Linked DNA regions of Caenorhabditis elegans. The protein of the gene in region 1 purifies or fractionates together with the protein of each later gene. This does not show direct contact. Each region holds a gene or a part of one and is shown on either strand. Other genes may lie near its edges.

Region 1 (7,212 bases):
AATTGGGAAATCAGTTTTTGAAATAATAGTTTTTGAAATAATTGAAATAATAAAATATTAAAAAAAACTAACATGACTATGTCCATGACCTCCTTCTCCGCTGTCATCTGAATGCAACTCCATTGGAAGAAGCTCAACAAGAGCCACGTGTACAAAAGTTCCTGCTGCTAATCCTTCAAGCCAATATCTTCCAATTCTTTGCCACATGTCGTTTTCGATTCCGTCAATCTAAACTTTTCAAATTTAAAATTTAGAAAATATCGAGTTGATAAAAAATATACCGTTGTAGCGAGAATCATTCCAGCTGGAATTGTAGCTGACAAGAAGATTGATGAAGTCCATGCATACTTTCTTGAAGCATTATGCTTTGCCAGTTGAACTCCATACGAGACACAACACAGCACTTCATGAAAAAGGACGGCAATCAAAATCTGCCAAAACGCGTTTGAATCATTCTGAACGCCGAGAGCAACTCCTTCGAAGAATGAATGAACTGACATTCCAAGAAGAAGAAACCAGACACGAATGTTCATTGATCCACCGGGGGCAGTTCGACAATGTCCTGATGAAGGTGCATGGTGATGAGGGCTCGTGTTCTACAAACGTTACAAATGAAATTTGAAGAAATAATGCTTCTTGGTGTTTTTTTTACTGTACTCAAAATGACACAAAAATGCATTTTTCAAAATATTTTCCAATTTCAGCTAAAACCTCTTTTCCGTGTCATAGTGGATGGCAATTGATATTTATTTAGTTTTTGTTCTACTATGTAATTTTTTTTCCTTGATCCACGATAATGATATGCAAAACAGAACAATATTTTTTTTATAAAAACAATTTCCGTTTGCTACAACACGGAAAATTTGGCAAAGCTTAAGATTTTTTCTAAAATTAGGCTCTTTTGACCATTTTTGAGGTTTGAGTAGAATAAAGCAAATATAACTTTTGATCGATTTTCTTATTTTTAAGGTATGTACCTGTCGGAAAATAATTTCATCTGCATCATCATCCATTGCAACAAGTGGAACGTGATCCTCTCCTTCTTCCTCCTGAAAACTTTTTTTAAATATTAAACCCGGGAAATTCAAAAAACAAAAGCTTACATCGTGGAACTTGTTCATTTTAATTGAATCACTTGTTGCCAGTGGGCTGTGTCCTGAATGTGAATGGCCATTTCCGATTGAATGTCCGATTCCGTGAATGATTTGCTCAGTTATCAAAATTATCAGGAATCCAATAATAACTAATTGATCAGTCGATGGAATCCATCCATAACTATCAACTATCGTCTGATTCCCTCTTAAATGCATTTCTTGATGTCTGACATGAGGGACAAGTCCGAGGAAACACGTGGCAATGAAGACACCGCATGAAGCACATCCCAGGAATGAGATTGATGTTTTTGAAGCGTTTCTGAAAAAAAAAATTTCTAGTTTTCATTTGTTATTTTGGAATTTAAACTGACACACAACATGTCCTTAGAAAAGTGTACGGTATCGATGTTGAGATCAGAAGAAGAATGAAAACAGCAAAAGCTGATGTTGTCATAAACAAAAATTGTTCCATTTTTAGTGCATTTTCTGAAAAATCTGCTTAGCGATTTTGATTTGGTTGGACTTTTTAAAAAATACAAGATCGATTAAAAAACGATTTGGAAGTTATTCAATGCTTGCAACAACAAATTATTTTATTGGACATTACTAAAATCAGAAGATCAACAATAAAAATGGGATAACTGTAAGAACAAAATTTTGAAAATCGAAATCCATAACAAGGAAAAATCAACAATGATGTAACAAAAGTTCATAAATTGTAAATATAAAAATAGGCTTAACGTTTGCTTAACGTCTTCCGCGTCCACCGCGTCCTCCTCGTCCACCACCACGACCACGTCCACCGAATCCTCCGCGTGGAGCTCCGAACAGATCATTGAAGCTGAAAAAAATAAAATAATTTCAGGAAAGACCGATGAAGCTTCTTACCTCTCCTTGTTGTTTCTCTTCATTCCCTTCTTCTTTCCTCCATAACCGAATTTATCCGATTTCAGTTTTCTTTTGAGTTCTCCTGCGTTTCTCATCGATCCTCCTCTTCCAGCTCCACCTCTTCCGGCACCACCTCTTCCTCCTAGACGGTCACCGAATGCTCCAGTCGGTGCGTCATCATCCTGATCAAGACCATGTCTTTTCACGTTGTTCAGCATATCTTCCAATTGTTGTTTCATTCCCTTTTTGTGCTTCTTCACAGCTTCTGCGAGGTTCTTTTTCTCTGTATTCTTGGCAGCGAGAACTTCCTGAAAAAAATGATATTCATGTTCAACGATTTTATTTTTGTAAATTCTACAAAACGAATCAGAGTAAATAGCATGTTTTACCAATATTTTAAATTTAAATTTAGTGATGGAAAATAGAAAAAATGTTTTATCTGGAAATAGATTTTTATTTCAGTTTGAAACAATTGCGAAGTGCTCAAAAACTGTATCAAAGTTGGATATTGCTGCAAAAAAATTTTATCCTGCAACTTTCAACTTGCAAACATTTTTGAGTGTTTGTCCAATCGAACCATTAGAAATTAAAGTTATTTTTCCGTTATTTTAATTAATTTTTAGGCTGAAATTTTTCTGGTTTTTTGAACAACCATTACCTTCTGAACCTTAACAGCAAACTTTTTCTCTTCACGAATACGGCGGAATGCTTCTTGTCGTTCCTTCATTTCTTGAATTCCGAGAAGTCTCTTGCGAACTTTCTGCATATGAGTGTCACTCTTTGCCATCTCTGCATAGTAATCTGTTGGTCGCAGAACTTTGATACCAAGATTCAGAAGACGTGGATAGGCGATTTGAACAGCTTTTTCAGCTTGCTTATAGCTTTAAAAAATTAGAATTTTCGAAATTATACAACCCTCGTGCAACTTACAAATTCAACTCTCTTTGGAAGTCGTCATTTTCCACTTTCTTGTCCATTTCAGAATGAGGAGTTACCACTTCAAGAGTCTCAACCCATGGAAGATCTTTTGTGATTTCAGCCAATTTTTCTTTCATTTCAGCACTTTTGTTGATGATCGGACGCTTTTTGGCTACTTGAATGTTGAGTCCATCTTTAAGAAGACCAGCAGCGAATGCGGCTTGGAGCTGCAATCAGTTTTTTTTTTTGAAAATACTTTTTAAAAAAGTAATTCTCACCTCTCTTTCATCGTCATCGCCGTCTGATTCAACCTCTTCGATATCCATCGCTTCCATTGGTTTTTCCTCGATAGCATTATCGAAGTCAAATTCGGATCCGTCGGAATCGCTCTGAAATTTTGAATTATTTTTTAAAACAAAGTATTTTCCTCACTTCTGGTTCCGGTTGACGACTTTTTGAAGTGCTGGCGAGCCGCTTGGCGAGCTTATTCATTTTACGAACCATCTGAAATCGATAATCAATAAATCCATTAAAAATTAGAAAAACACAATTATAAAATATTAAAAACGCTGAAAACGTTTTCTTTTGAAGATCGAAGAATAGTAAAAAATTAACAAATTATTATTACAAACATTCACAAGAACAAGAAAAATATAATACATGAAAACAAAAAAATTATTAACAATTATTATTGCACATCGAATCGAGCACCAATGAGAAGACGGCTGGCTGAAAGTTTTTAAATAATTAGCTTGCACTAAAAAATTAACAAAATAAATAGTATTTTAATACATGAAACTTTGACAAGAAACATTTTATATCGGTAATGTGTCTTCCCAAAAAACAGCCAATAAATTCTTGGCCGAACTGCGGCGCATTGAAATTTCTCTTCCACAAAAGATTTCTCGTTCATAATGCTGCGTCCAAACCCGAAAAAATCTCAAATGTTCTTCATTTTTTTAAATTGAACTGATAATTGAAGAGAAAAACGATTATCGGAAGCAGCATAAAGATATATTGACCCGAAAATTTACGAAGAGACCCCCAGAAAACATTATTTAGATTGAATTTTCTCTTTGAACAAACACATGAATAGGTTTTTAGTCTATCAATTGATAAGAGTCGGAGTGCAATGGTATGTGCGATGTGACTCATTTTTCTTCGATTTTTTGTACAATAAGAAACAATTTTTCAGAAAAATTTAATGAAAATGAATAAGTCTAAAGATCGAACACCTACAGTATCCACGATTGAGAGCTATGGAACGTAAGTTTTAGAATCAAATTTCTATGATATCTGTACTTTACAGAGATATGCCGCATGAGCATTATCGTTACTATAGAGAAAAAAATATATGTGGCATTTCTGGACCAATATGCTTTTGTTCAACTCTGATCTTAGTGGGATTTTTGATTTTGCTAGGAATTTTGGCGATAGTTATATTTTTCATACTTCATCGTGAGTACTAGACGTCCAGTTCTTAATATTAAGCATGTTCTTTACAGATACGTTATGAAACGAGTGGTCAGCTTCTCACTATCAACGACAAAATTATATTTCTTACTATTCTAAACCCTAAAAATGGATTTTCAACGTTTATACATGAATGAAAACATATTTTACGCCTATTGTTTGATTGGAATGAATTCTAAATTGATTTGATGTTTTAAAACTTTAAAATACTCACCATTTTTGCGGAGGAACGGGCTGAAACTTAAAATTATTTGCAGAAATTCGAAACTGAAAACTCTGTTTTGAATTGCCGCTTGAGTAAGATCCGCAGGGTGACACGCAGCGCACTGACCGCAACGCTCTAGACGACACTTGCGAGCATAGTTTTGAATGTGAACGCAGCGTTCCCGCACTGTTTTTATTGGTTTTTTGCATGTTTCTTTGTTTTTTTAAGTATTTATTAAACGTTTATCTCTCTTTACGATATTACGACATAAATTATTTTCTATCTTCTTATTCGTTTTCTTTTTTACAGGGATCTATCATTTAAGCCATGTCCTTCTTCAACCCACCAGCAAACTCCAACCATGGTTACAATGACGACGTCAATACTGGTTACAATGCCCGAATGCATTCAAAACTCGCCGAAAGAGAGGGATTTCATCTCGGAAACGGTTCAGATGAACCAAGAACTTTGTAAGTTGGGTACATTGGAAAGTTTCGAATTTCTTGTTGAAAATTGTCAATTAATTTACTCTTTTGTTGCAGGTATGTTGGAAATCTTGATTCGACAGTCACTGAGGACTTTATAGCGACTTTGTTCAATCAAATAGGATCGGTTACAAAGACCAAAGTTATTTTCGACGTAAGTTTTTCGCTTTGGAACAAGACTAATCTTTACAGAAAACTCTTGCTTGCTCGCGGTACGTATGATTTTTATCCGCTTTTATTTTTACTTTTAAATGTGAATCTTTTTGATTATGATGTTTTCTAATTTCACAGGAATTGGGGTACCTGGCTACAAATGCACAAGGCGGCAACCAATCCACACCGACACTGAGACAGTGTATACCTTTTTCTTTTGAATTTTTTGTTGTTTTAATTAAGTACTAAGAGGAAAACATGCGTTTTGAATAGATTTTCATAGAGATTGAGAGAAAACCCGGGAAATCAAAGTATTAGTCAAACGTTTTCATTTCAGGGTTCTAATGATCCATATGCGTTCGTTGAGTTCTCTGATCATGGACAGGCTTCCCAAGCTCTTCAGACGATGAACAAGCGACTTCTTCTTGATAGAGTATGTTTTATTTGAAACGACAAATTAACTCCTGTATAAAAAACAAAATTTCGATATGATTCCACTGGGTTCCGATGTAAAATTTGTATTTTTTTAAGTGTTAGCAATATAGTTTATTTGCTTAAAAAATTAAATTTCGTTTATGTGTCATAAATAAAAAAAAGTAAATGTGAAAACCTATTTCAAAATCAAATTTGTTATTTTCAGGAGATGAAAGTCAACTGGGCCGTGGAGCCGGGGCAGCAGCAGTCAAAAATTGACACTACCAGACATTTCCACGTTTTTGTTGGAGATCTCTCGTCCGAAGTTGATAACCAAAAACTGCGCGAAGCTTTCCAACCATTTGGAGATGTTTCGGACGCCAAAGTGATCCGTGACACTAACACCACTAAGTCAAAGGGTTATGGTTTCGTTTCATACCCGAAAAGAGAAGAAGCTGAGCGTGCTATTGAGCAAATGAATGGACAATGGCTCGGAAGAAGAACTATCCGTACCAATTGGGCTACAAGAAAGCCAGGAGATCAAGAGAAACCAAGCCATTATAATGAAAAGTCATACGATGAGATCTACAATCAAACTTCTGGAGATAACACTTCAGTCTACGTCGGAAACATTGCTTCACTTACTGGTAAGTCAACAAAAATTTAATATTTTATAATACTTTCATTGAAAAATTCTAACGTCGAATTTATAATGTTTTTTGCAGAAGATGAAATCCGCCAAGGATTCGCCAGCTTTGGACGAATTACCGAAGTCCGCATTTTCAAGATGCAAGGATATGCATTTGTGAAGTTTGACAACAAAGATGCCGCTGCAAAGGCTATTGTCCAGATGAACAACCAAGATGTCGGAGGACAGCTTGTTAGATGTAGCTGGGGAAAAACTGGAGACGTAAGCGTTTTGATTAATTTTTTTAGTAAGGAAAATCTTATTTCAGACTGGAAAAACTCCTGGAGGATCTTATGGTTACGGTTATGGAAACTCATCGTCTGGAGGAAACTCACAGCCGTACTCTGGATATGGTGGTGGCGGAGCTTACGGAGGTGGTCAAGGAGGAGGAGGCCATGGAGGACCTGGACAACAGCAATCCAATGCCAACAGTCAGTATTGGCAATACTACGCCCAATACTACAATAATCCTCAACTCATGCAACAATGGTCCAACTACTGGCAGCAACAAGGAGGAGCTCCACAACAACAGAACTCTGGAGGACATCAATAAACTCCAGTATTTTTTAAAAACATTTTATATGTGACCCTATTGCCCCCGGATTTTGTCATTTGAACTTAATTCCAAGTTCCACCCATACCTTAATTTGTCCGGCTGTGGCCTTTCTGTCAGTTTTCTCTTTCTCGGCATTCTAACGCACTTTTCTATTTATGATTTCCTTTTTTTCTATGTATTTGTTATAATACTTCCCTTCTGAAACAATCTGTTGATCTTTTGACAATCATTATATCAAATTTTTTTCTGTTTTTTTATTTGCTTCCATTACGTGTCCATTCCCCACCCACACCACTTCATCACCTAATCAATATGTCTAGATTCAAAAAGAAAAAATG
Region 2 (8,062 bases), on another chromosome or scaffold:
CTGGTCATTATTTCTAACCTCTACAGCTCTTCATGCAGTTGCTTTAATTACTAGTCCAGTGTAAGTAACTTTTTTTCTAGATATAATCTTGGCAGATTGTCGAAACTGTCCTATAAACTTTATTCACTTCCGTGGGAGGCAGATTAAATGTGGTTAAAATTAGCTGGGAACAAAAGAAAAACGTCGAATATCAATAACAAATGTGTTTCGAAAAGTCCACAATATCTATTTTACATTCAAAATATAATTTTATCTTAACAAAACTGGTAAATTTAAAAGAAAATAGTTAAAAGTATTTAAATTTCAGTCAAGCTGTTCATAAATGGGTACGAAGGCAAAGCAGTGACAGTGATACTCCCATTCCATACATTTGTGCAGTTATTGGGTAAGAGTTTGCCCTAAACATTTATTTATTATTATTTAAAGGAAAATTAAGTATATTCTAAAGAAAAAAAAAACAAAAAAGTTGGACAAGAATGTGAAATCTAACTCTACAGAAAAAAACAGTTTTCCAACTCGTGCTAGTCTCCCAGTCTGATTTTATTTATTTTTACCAGAATATGAAACCAATCAGTGCTCACTTAGTTTTTTGGTATTCAAGTAATTTTTCGAAATGTATTTTAATACACTTCTGACACCACGAATGTATCAAAATATATGTTTTTGGTTACTTAAATAAGGCAAAATGTGTGTACTTAAATACACTTTTTAGTTTTCCGACTTTTTACTTTGTACGTTGTTTATTTTTTGTGATATTCCAGTACTTCGAACTTGACAAAATCTAAAAAAGTGGTACGACTGCACACGTTTTTGAGTTGTGTTCATAGGATATAAATAAAAAACAACAAAGAAATGCTCATAGTTGTACAAAGTTCAACTTAAGTTGTAGTTGTACTAGTAACTTGTCTAATTCTCACCATTTTACTTTACCACCTTCACCGCAATCAAGATCAGTTTTTCTTTGAAATATGAGATGTCCTTCATGAATTTTCTTAGAAGATCATGAGTAGTTTGGCAGCGTAAACAATATGAAAAATTCCCTTCACCTCTATCAGATTTGCATTTACGTAAAGAAATACGGTTTTGGTAGATACCATCTTTTGCCATCTAGCTTCCATTTATTGCATCTAATAAAAAACAATTTTGAAGTGAAACGTTACTTTATTTCTTCATTAACTTTCTCAAGCTTATTTGGAAATTGTCGATCCATCTCCATCTTCAGCTCTCATGTTTTCTTATATCATTCATTACACTCTTTAAGCCTTGTTCCAACAGAACTATAACGTTTCAAACCTACACTTTTCAATAGAATAATTGTCACTCTGCCAATTTCGTAGCTTGTAGCTTGGGCATTAAATAACGAACATTTGGGAAACTTTTTTTGAATTCGCAGTCGACATCTATCAAGATCCTATATAGGCCAATCACGTCCCAAATATATCATATTGTGTTTCTCTTAAATATGAAGTACTGTATCGAGAGAGCATTTGCTCCATGAATACTGCAATATGGCATAGTCGGATCACCGTTTCAAAGCCAGGGCACAATTTTTTCTGCCTCTCTTTTTATTCCGACTCTCCGATATTGCAGTATTCAGTTCACAAAATAAACTGGATTACTGTAATGGTTCTGTAATTGCTGCTATAATAAAACTGTACAACGAATTCCAAAAGTTTCAGGTCTGCACTATGGCTTCGGTATTCAATATTTCTTCGGGACACAAAGCTTATCCTTTTGCAGACATATGCAGTTTCAATGCAACTATTCTTCGTGATTGCACTCATTTTCTACCGTACCAAAAGAGTATTTATATTTGGATCTTGTTCTTTTTAAATATTTGTTTTTAATTTCAGCGAAAGTTAATTCGTCTAATGACTGGAATTGCAGCTGCTCTGTCTTTACTCTTCTTGTACATTGGTAATATGAATGATGAAGACGGGAAAGAAGTGAGTGTCTGCGTCCCTTTTTCTTATATACACTCTCATTTCTCTATGTCTCTTTCAGTTCACTGGCCGCATCGCATCTGGCGCTCAAATTGCTGGGTCTCTGGTCTGTCCGTATCTAATAGTAAGTACTAGTTACCCGTTTAGCCGTCGGGGGTATAGCTCAGGGGTAGAGCGCTCGCTTCGCATGCGAGAAGTCTGGGGTTCAATTCCCCATACCTCCAAATTTCATTTTGCAGTACAAAGCAGTAACATCGAAATGTATAGATTTTGTACCCCTGGCTCCAGTGGTCTTCACGTGGGTAATGGAGCTCCACGCGATCGTTTATAGTATTGGTATTGATGATTTTTACATGCTGGTTTGTTCGGAATTTTTTAACTGTTATCAAATCAAAGGGTCACATTTTCGACGTGGCCTAGAAAGATCTAAAACTCGGTCGGCGGTTTATCTTTAATTTTCACAGGTTCTTTCTGAACACTCTGAAGATTGAGAGTAATGTACTTAAAATAGTTTTTCTATTGGTTTTTCGGAGAAGATTTCTTGAGATAGTTCTTAATAACGTGGCACCAGGCTGACCCATTACGGTTTGATCTACAAAAAATGCGGGAAATTTTTTGCCCAAAAAAATGTGACGTCAGCACGCTCTTAACCATGCTAAATCAGTAGAGAAGTCAGCGTCTAATTTCCCGCAATTCTCGTAGATCTACGTTGATCAAACCGACATGGGACAGCCTGACACCACGTGTAAATTCAACTTTTTGAAAGTGACCGAGTTTTCTCAGTTTCTAGGCCACGCTTCATTCTTGAAAATTCGTTGCTTTTAGATGTAAAACACTAACTTCAAGTATGTGGACAATTTTTTGCACCAATAAATGTGTTAAGATAATCCTAAATTCAATTTTACAACTTTTCAGTTAGCCAACGTGATCTTCTTCTGTATGGATGGTTCACTTCTCTCGATGTTCTTCGTGTATCCAACGGAAAAAAAGAAGAAAAATTTGAAATCGTCACCAATTCCAACAGTCATGTAACCCAGAATGCTTCGTGTTTTGGTCAAAGCATCTCAGGTTTTCTATCAATTTTCTCTCCAACACCAATTTAATGTTGCTTCTCTCTCCTCCTCCCACTCCCAATTCTCAATTTTTCGAAATAAACGGGTACCAGTTCCTTAAGACGGTCAAACATTTATCATTAATCAAGAATTGAAAAGCGACACTTGAATCAGCGAAGAATAAGCAAATCACGGAGATTTAGATACGAGAATAAGAAAAATGTAAAAAAGACACAAAAAACGGAAATAAGAAGAAGAAGATGGGCGAAATTAAGAAGATGTGACATTGCACGTTTATCATTTCGTCGCGTTAATCGGACATTAACACCGCTTTGTCTCAACCACATACAATTTTTTGAAAAATTTCGGTTTTTTGTGGGTGATTTAGTCTATGTTACTGTAATCGAATTGACAAATTCTTCGATCGTCTATGACTTTAGCTTTATAATTTAGGTTAGAAAAAGAGAAGTTTCGGAGATGGAATGTGTCAACTTATGTTCCAAAAAACCCAATAAACTGCAATATTTATATGAGAAATATAAACTGAAGGTAAGAAGAATGGCAGGTTATATTATTAATTGGTGTATATGAAAGAAGGTCATTCGTTTATTATATTATCTATTCTTAATCTCTTTTATTACATCCAAACCTTTTAGAGACTCTCTGAACATTCTATTGAATTCGAAATTTTCATCTGGGGATTACTGTACTTAGCTCATAATCGTATCAATTCCTGAACACACTCACTGCCGTTCTCAAAATTATGTAAATTTTCATATTCTCTTTATGGCATCTGAGGATTATTTTTATGGCTTAAAATCAATTTTTGGCAACTTGACTACTTACAAAATGTGTTCTCATGCATAACTTTGTAATAGGTGGGTACGAATGCTTTGTTCCTTTGAACTTCAAAGCGTTCCCAAGAACGCCTTGTATTGGTATTTCTCGACGATTTATTGTCCGTTTCTCGTTTCTTGTGATAATTATAGAGGTCAAAATGTCACTTTTACTTGCCATTCATATATTCCAGTCTTTTTTCAATTTCAACCCGATCTCTCAGTTCTCTACCAATTCGTCTTGAGCTAATTCCCTTGTCAATCGATGAGTTGCTTCACCTCCACTAAATTATTCATTTCGCATCAGGAGCAAGTAGTCTGTACGACTTCCGTTTCTACCGAAGAGCAACAGAAGCCTCAACTCAAACTGGCAGAACCACCTGTGATAACAATGAGCGGAGTTACTGCAATTGAGATTCCACAATGGATTCAAGATAATCAAGAGGATTTTGTACCACCTGTTTGTAACAAGTGTATGTTCTCGGATCAGTTGAAAGTTTTCTACGTTGGAGGACCAAATCAAAGAAAAGATTTTCATTTGGAAGAAGGAGAAGAGTTTTTCTTCCAGAGAAAAGGGGATATGGTACTGAAAGTGATTGAAAAGGGTCAAGTCCGTGATCTAGTAATCAAGCAAGGTAGGATTCATCACAAAATTTATTTTTGAATTTGTAAATTAATTAATTAATAACACAAACTCACATGGTTTCTTAGATAACTTTTTAACTAGCTTTTTAAATTAAAATTCCATGAACAAAAAATTTAGACTGAAAATTGAGAATTTTTCACAATTTATAAACGGAAACTAAATCTGTGTTGTCAAAAATTTTTTGGAATTATTTTTTTCACAAATGTTAGATAATCTGAATCAAAACTCAAAATTGAGCTCTCTATTTTTCAGGGGAAATGTTCATGTTGCCAGCAAGAGTAGAACATTCACCTCAAAGATTTTCCAACTCTATTGGTCTTGTCGTTGAACGTGAACGAAAGAATACTGAATTTGATTGTGTTCGATTTCTTGTTGGTTCTTCCAATATCACACTCTTTGAAAGATGGTTCTATTTGACTGATGTTGTCAAGGATTTACCTCCATTAATCAAAGAATTTTATGGATCGAATGAATTCAAAACTGGTTGGTTTGTAGTTGTGTGAGCTCACCGATTTTTTGTTTCAGGTAAACCAGGAAAAGGAACATTTGCATGCAATGCTCCATACGAAGCAAGATGGACTGATTTACCCGTACCTATTAATAGAAAAGAATTTATCTATGATCATATCAGTGAAGTGAAGTAAGAAATTAGTTGGTTTTGTTTCGGATAGTTAATTTGAGAAGTTTTCAGAAACGGACCAGTGAGAATTTATGGAGCACCTGAGTACAAAACTGAAGTTATGTTGCTAGGAGAGGGATCTTATGATTTGGAAAGTGGAACTGTAGAGTTGCTAATTTGGTTGCAGGTATGGCAAAAACAGAAAAATCCCAAAAAAAATTCATGTATCATTTAGGAAAACACATTTGCGGTCGTAGAAGAGAGCGGGTTCACTTATGCAATGAAATCGGAGACCATGGTTAGGATAAAACCGAACACAAAGTAAGAATACGGAATTATAGGTTCTTTGAAATAATTTTGTTTTAGGTGTCTTCTTAATGTCAAAGGAGGATTTGCTATCACCATCAGAATGCCAGCATAATTTTTTTTTTCAATTTTGTAAAAGTCAATTTCCATATAGGCTGATTGAATGAATGCTTTTTTCAATATTTCTATCTTTATTCCAAAATGTAATTTCAATTTTGATTTATAACAAAATGAATGACATGCAATCGTGGCCAACTGATAACATCAATTCCGTTTCATTATCATCGATGTCAAATGTCTCGTGTAACACACGCTGTCGGTTCAGCAAAACCATCATGTTCTTCAAAGCTTCAGAAAATTTGTACTTTCAGACCTCGTTGTTCGTTTCAGGAAATTATGTCACTGTAAAAACTGTAAAATTGGTTAAAAATACAAAGAATCCAATTTTTGTTTTGTAGTTAGTTTACATAACTATTTTTAGTATGATTTCTATTTCATTAGAAAAAAAAACGTTAACTCATTCCGAAAATTTTTTAGCAGAAAAATAATAAATGCCTTTTAGCCGTAATTTTCAAAGGGGTTGTTTTTAAATTTGATGGGGAAGATTGAAAATAATAACTTAAAATAACTTCTCGGTTGGAAAAAAACTATAATTTAGAAAATGTTCACAATACCTCATTTTTTACTGTCAAATCGTCACGAGAACTTTGATTGTTGAAATTTGGCCAGTACTTCCTTGTTTTGAGCATCTTTTTAATATGATCAATGACGTACAATCCAAGTTTCAGATCTTTAAAAACATCTGATTACGATTACAGATCTTTTATTTTATTGTTCATAGCCCATTTTTCGTTTTGCAACCCTTATCATTAATATGCCCTTTTTGTGTACATTTATTCTTTTTCTTTCGTTGTCTTCATTGAGTATTAACTGAAATTGTCTAGGATTATGAGCATCGGAAACTGAAATGATAAGTATTTCCCGCGCTCATGTGGTTTTTTTTTTAATTTTCTAACGGTTTTTCCTCAACAGTTGAATCAATGTTATAAATTGCCAAAAAACAAAGACTACAATAAATGGACCACATTATAACGTCTAAGCACTGTAGTTTTCCTATTTACTATTATCAACTGTCGTCTTTATCAGTCTCTATCTTTTTCTAAATTGACCTTCGGCCACACTGTAGGCTACCCATGCTGTCCTCTTGCCCAGTTCTTATATTTTGATTGTTATTGCTAAATTCATTTATTTTTCAAACTTCAGCCATGCCACACGACTCTACATATCCACCAGTGAAGATTTCCGAGCGTCCGTACCATGAGATGCTCCTTGATGCAATTGATAAAACAATTGCCGATGGAAAGAATAAAATTGCATTTGTGAGCGGAGATAATCCAAAACATTTCATTACTTTTGAACAACTTCGTAAGGATGCTTTTGCTGTCGCTATGTATCTTCATAGCATTGGGTTCAAGGTATGTGGCATTATGTTAAAAATTTGGGAATTTTATAATTCAACAAGAGAAAGGAAGTATTTCAAAAATCTTTCAATTTGTTCAAGACAATGCCTTAAATTTTTGATATCTTTTAGAAAGATGTTGCTGCTGTTGTTCTTCCAAACGTCTGGCACTATACTTCATTTTTCATTGGATGTGCCATCAACGGTGGAGCTGTATCTGGAGCTAGTGCACTTTTCACTGACTGTAAGTTAAATTGATGAAAGTTACTTTCACCAACCCGCAATTTCTGTTTTCAGATGAGCTTCAACGTCAATTTGTTGATTCTCGCGCAAAGGTTGTTTTTACTTACGAAGATTTTCTTCCAAAAGTTCTTCTTGCTGTGAAGCAATCGCCAAACATCCAAAAGATCATTGTCATCCCAAAACCAGTTGGATCTTCTCTTCCAGCAGGAGTTGTATCTTGGAATGAAGTGGTTTCAACTCCAGTCACTGCTCTACCACAAGTTCCAATTGATGTTCACAATGATTTACTCGTTCTTCCATACTCGAGTGGTACCACTGGACCACCAAAGGGTGTTATGCTATCACACTACAATTTTACATCCATGATCTCCATGTATCTTGCGTAAGTTTGAAATTTAAAGATGATGATGATGAGACAGAATAGGTGTGAAAGTACAAAGTTAACAGTAAAATGGTTACACTTTAACCTTCCTATGACGCAAAAAAAGATAAGGGCCAAGAAAACAATTTCATAGATCAATACAGAAGAATCAGTATAACGTTATGTACATTTTTTGAAAAGTAATTGAAAAAAAACGAAAATATAATTAGGTTCATATACGACACAACTTTCAGAATTGATAAATCACACATTTTGGATGTTCTTGATCCAAATTGGGACTGCTACAATGAGAAAGCTCTCTTGTTTCTTCCATTCTATCATGTCTATGGATTTGGTCTTCTTAATCACTGTCTTCTCAAGGGAATGACTGGAATTGTCATGAGCCATTTTGAGCCGAATAATTTTTTGACTGCCGTTCAAAACTACAAAGTATAGAATCAAAAGTTCATAAATAACATTTTTAATTTAATTCTTTAGGTCCGCTGTCTTTGCCTAGTTCCACCAATTATGGTTTTCTTGGCCAAGCATCCAATTTGCGATAAGTTTGATCTATCATCAGTGCAAATGATAATGGCG

What was found.
Region 2: the proteins of C18A3.3 (region 1) and haao-1 fractionate together in Caenorhabditis elegans (co-fractionation; one large-scale study listed by BioGRID). This does not show direct contact.

What each region holds. Positions count from the first base shown.
Region 1 is NC_003280.10:5,712,499-5,719,710, reverse strand, and holds C18A3.3 (putative rRNA-processing protein EBP2 homolog), read right to left. Parts: upstream 3,405-7,212; coding exon 3,333-3,404; intron 3,290-3,332; coding exon 3,179-3,289; intron 3,128-3,178; coding exon 2,913-3,127; intron 2,864-2,912; coding exon 2,641-2,863; intron 2,291-2,640; coding exon 1,983-2,290; intron 1,936-1,982; coding exon 1,842-1,935; 3' UTR 1,673-1,841; downstream 1-1,672. Other genes in the region: zipt-3 (Zinc/iron permease), read right to left, coding at 73-228, 282-596, 978-1,049, 1,104-1,413, 1,466-1,566; C18A3.10 (uncharacterized protein), read left to right, coding at 4,111-4,166, 4,210-4,358, 4,406-4,416; lelo-4 (Late ELOngation arrest), read right to left, coding at 3,461-3,629, 4,588-4,787; Cytotoxic granule-associated RNA binding protein tiar-1, read left to right, coding at 4,906-5,048, 5,121-5,217, 5,554-5,649, 5,857-6,277, 6,356-6,540, 6,587-6,871. UniProt on the Caenorhabditis elegans protein: Required for the processing of the 27S pre-rRNA.
Region 2 is NC_003283.11:9,501,467-9,509,528, forward strand, and holds haao-1 (3-hydroxyanthranilate 3,4-dioxygenase), read left to right. Parts: upstream 1-3,443; 5' UTR 3,444-3,544; intron 3,545-4,138; 5' UTR 4,139-4,222; coding exon 4,223-4,466; intron 4,467-4,729; coding exon 4,730-4,960; intron 4,961-5,002; coding exon 5,003-5,117; intron 5,118-5,168; coding exon 5,169-5,283; intron 5,284-5,331; coding exon 5,332-5,417; intron 5,418-5,462; coding exon 5,463-5,517; 3' UTR 5,518-5,652; downstream 5,653-8,062. Other genes in the region: swt-5 (Sugar transporter SWEET), read left to right, coding at 1-60, 308-385, 1,680-1,803, 1,854-1,946, 2,005-2,067, 2,183-2,302, 2,859-2,975; acs-14 (4-coumarate--CoA ligase), read left to right, coding at 6,668-6,877, 6,994-7,105, 7,159-7,486, 7,720-7,915, 7,964-8,062. UniProt on the Caenorhabditis elegans protein: Catalyzes the oxidative ring opening of 3-hydroxyanthranilate to 2-amino-3-carboxymuconate semialdehyde, which spontaneously cyclizes to quinolinate.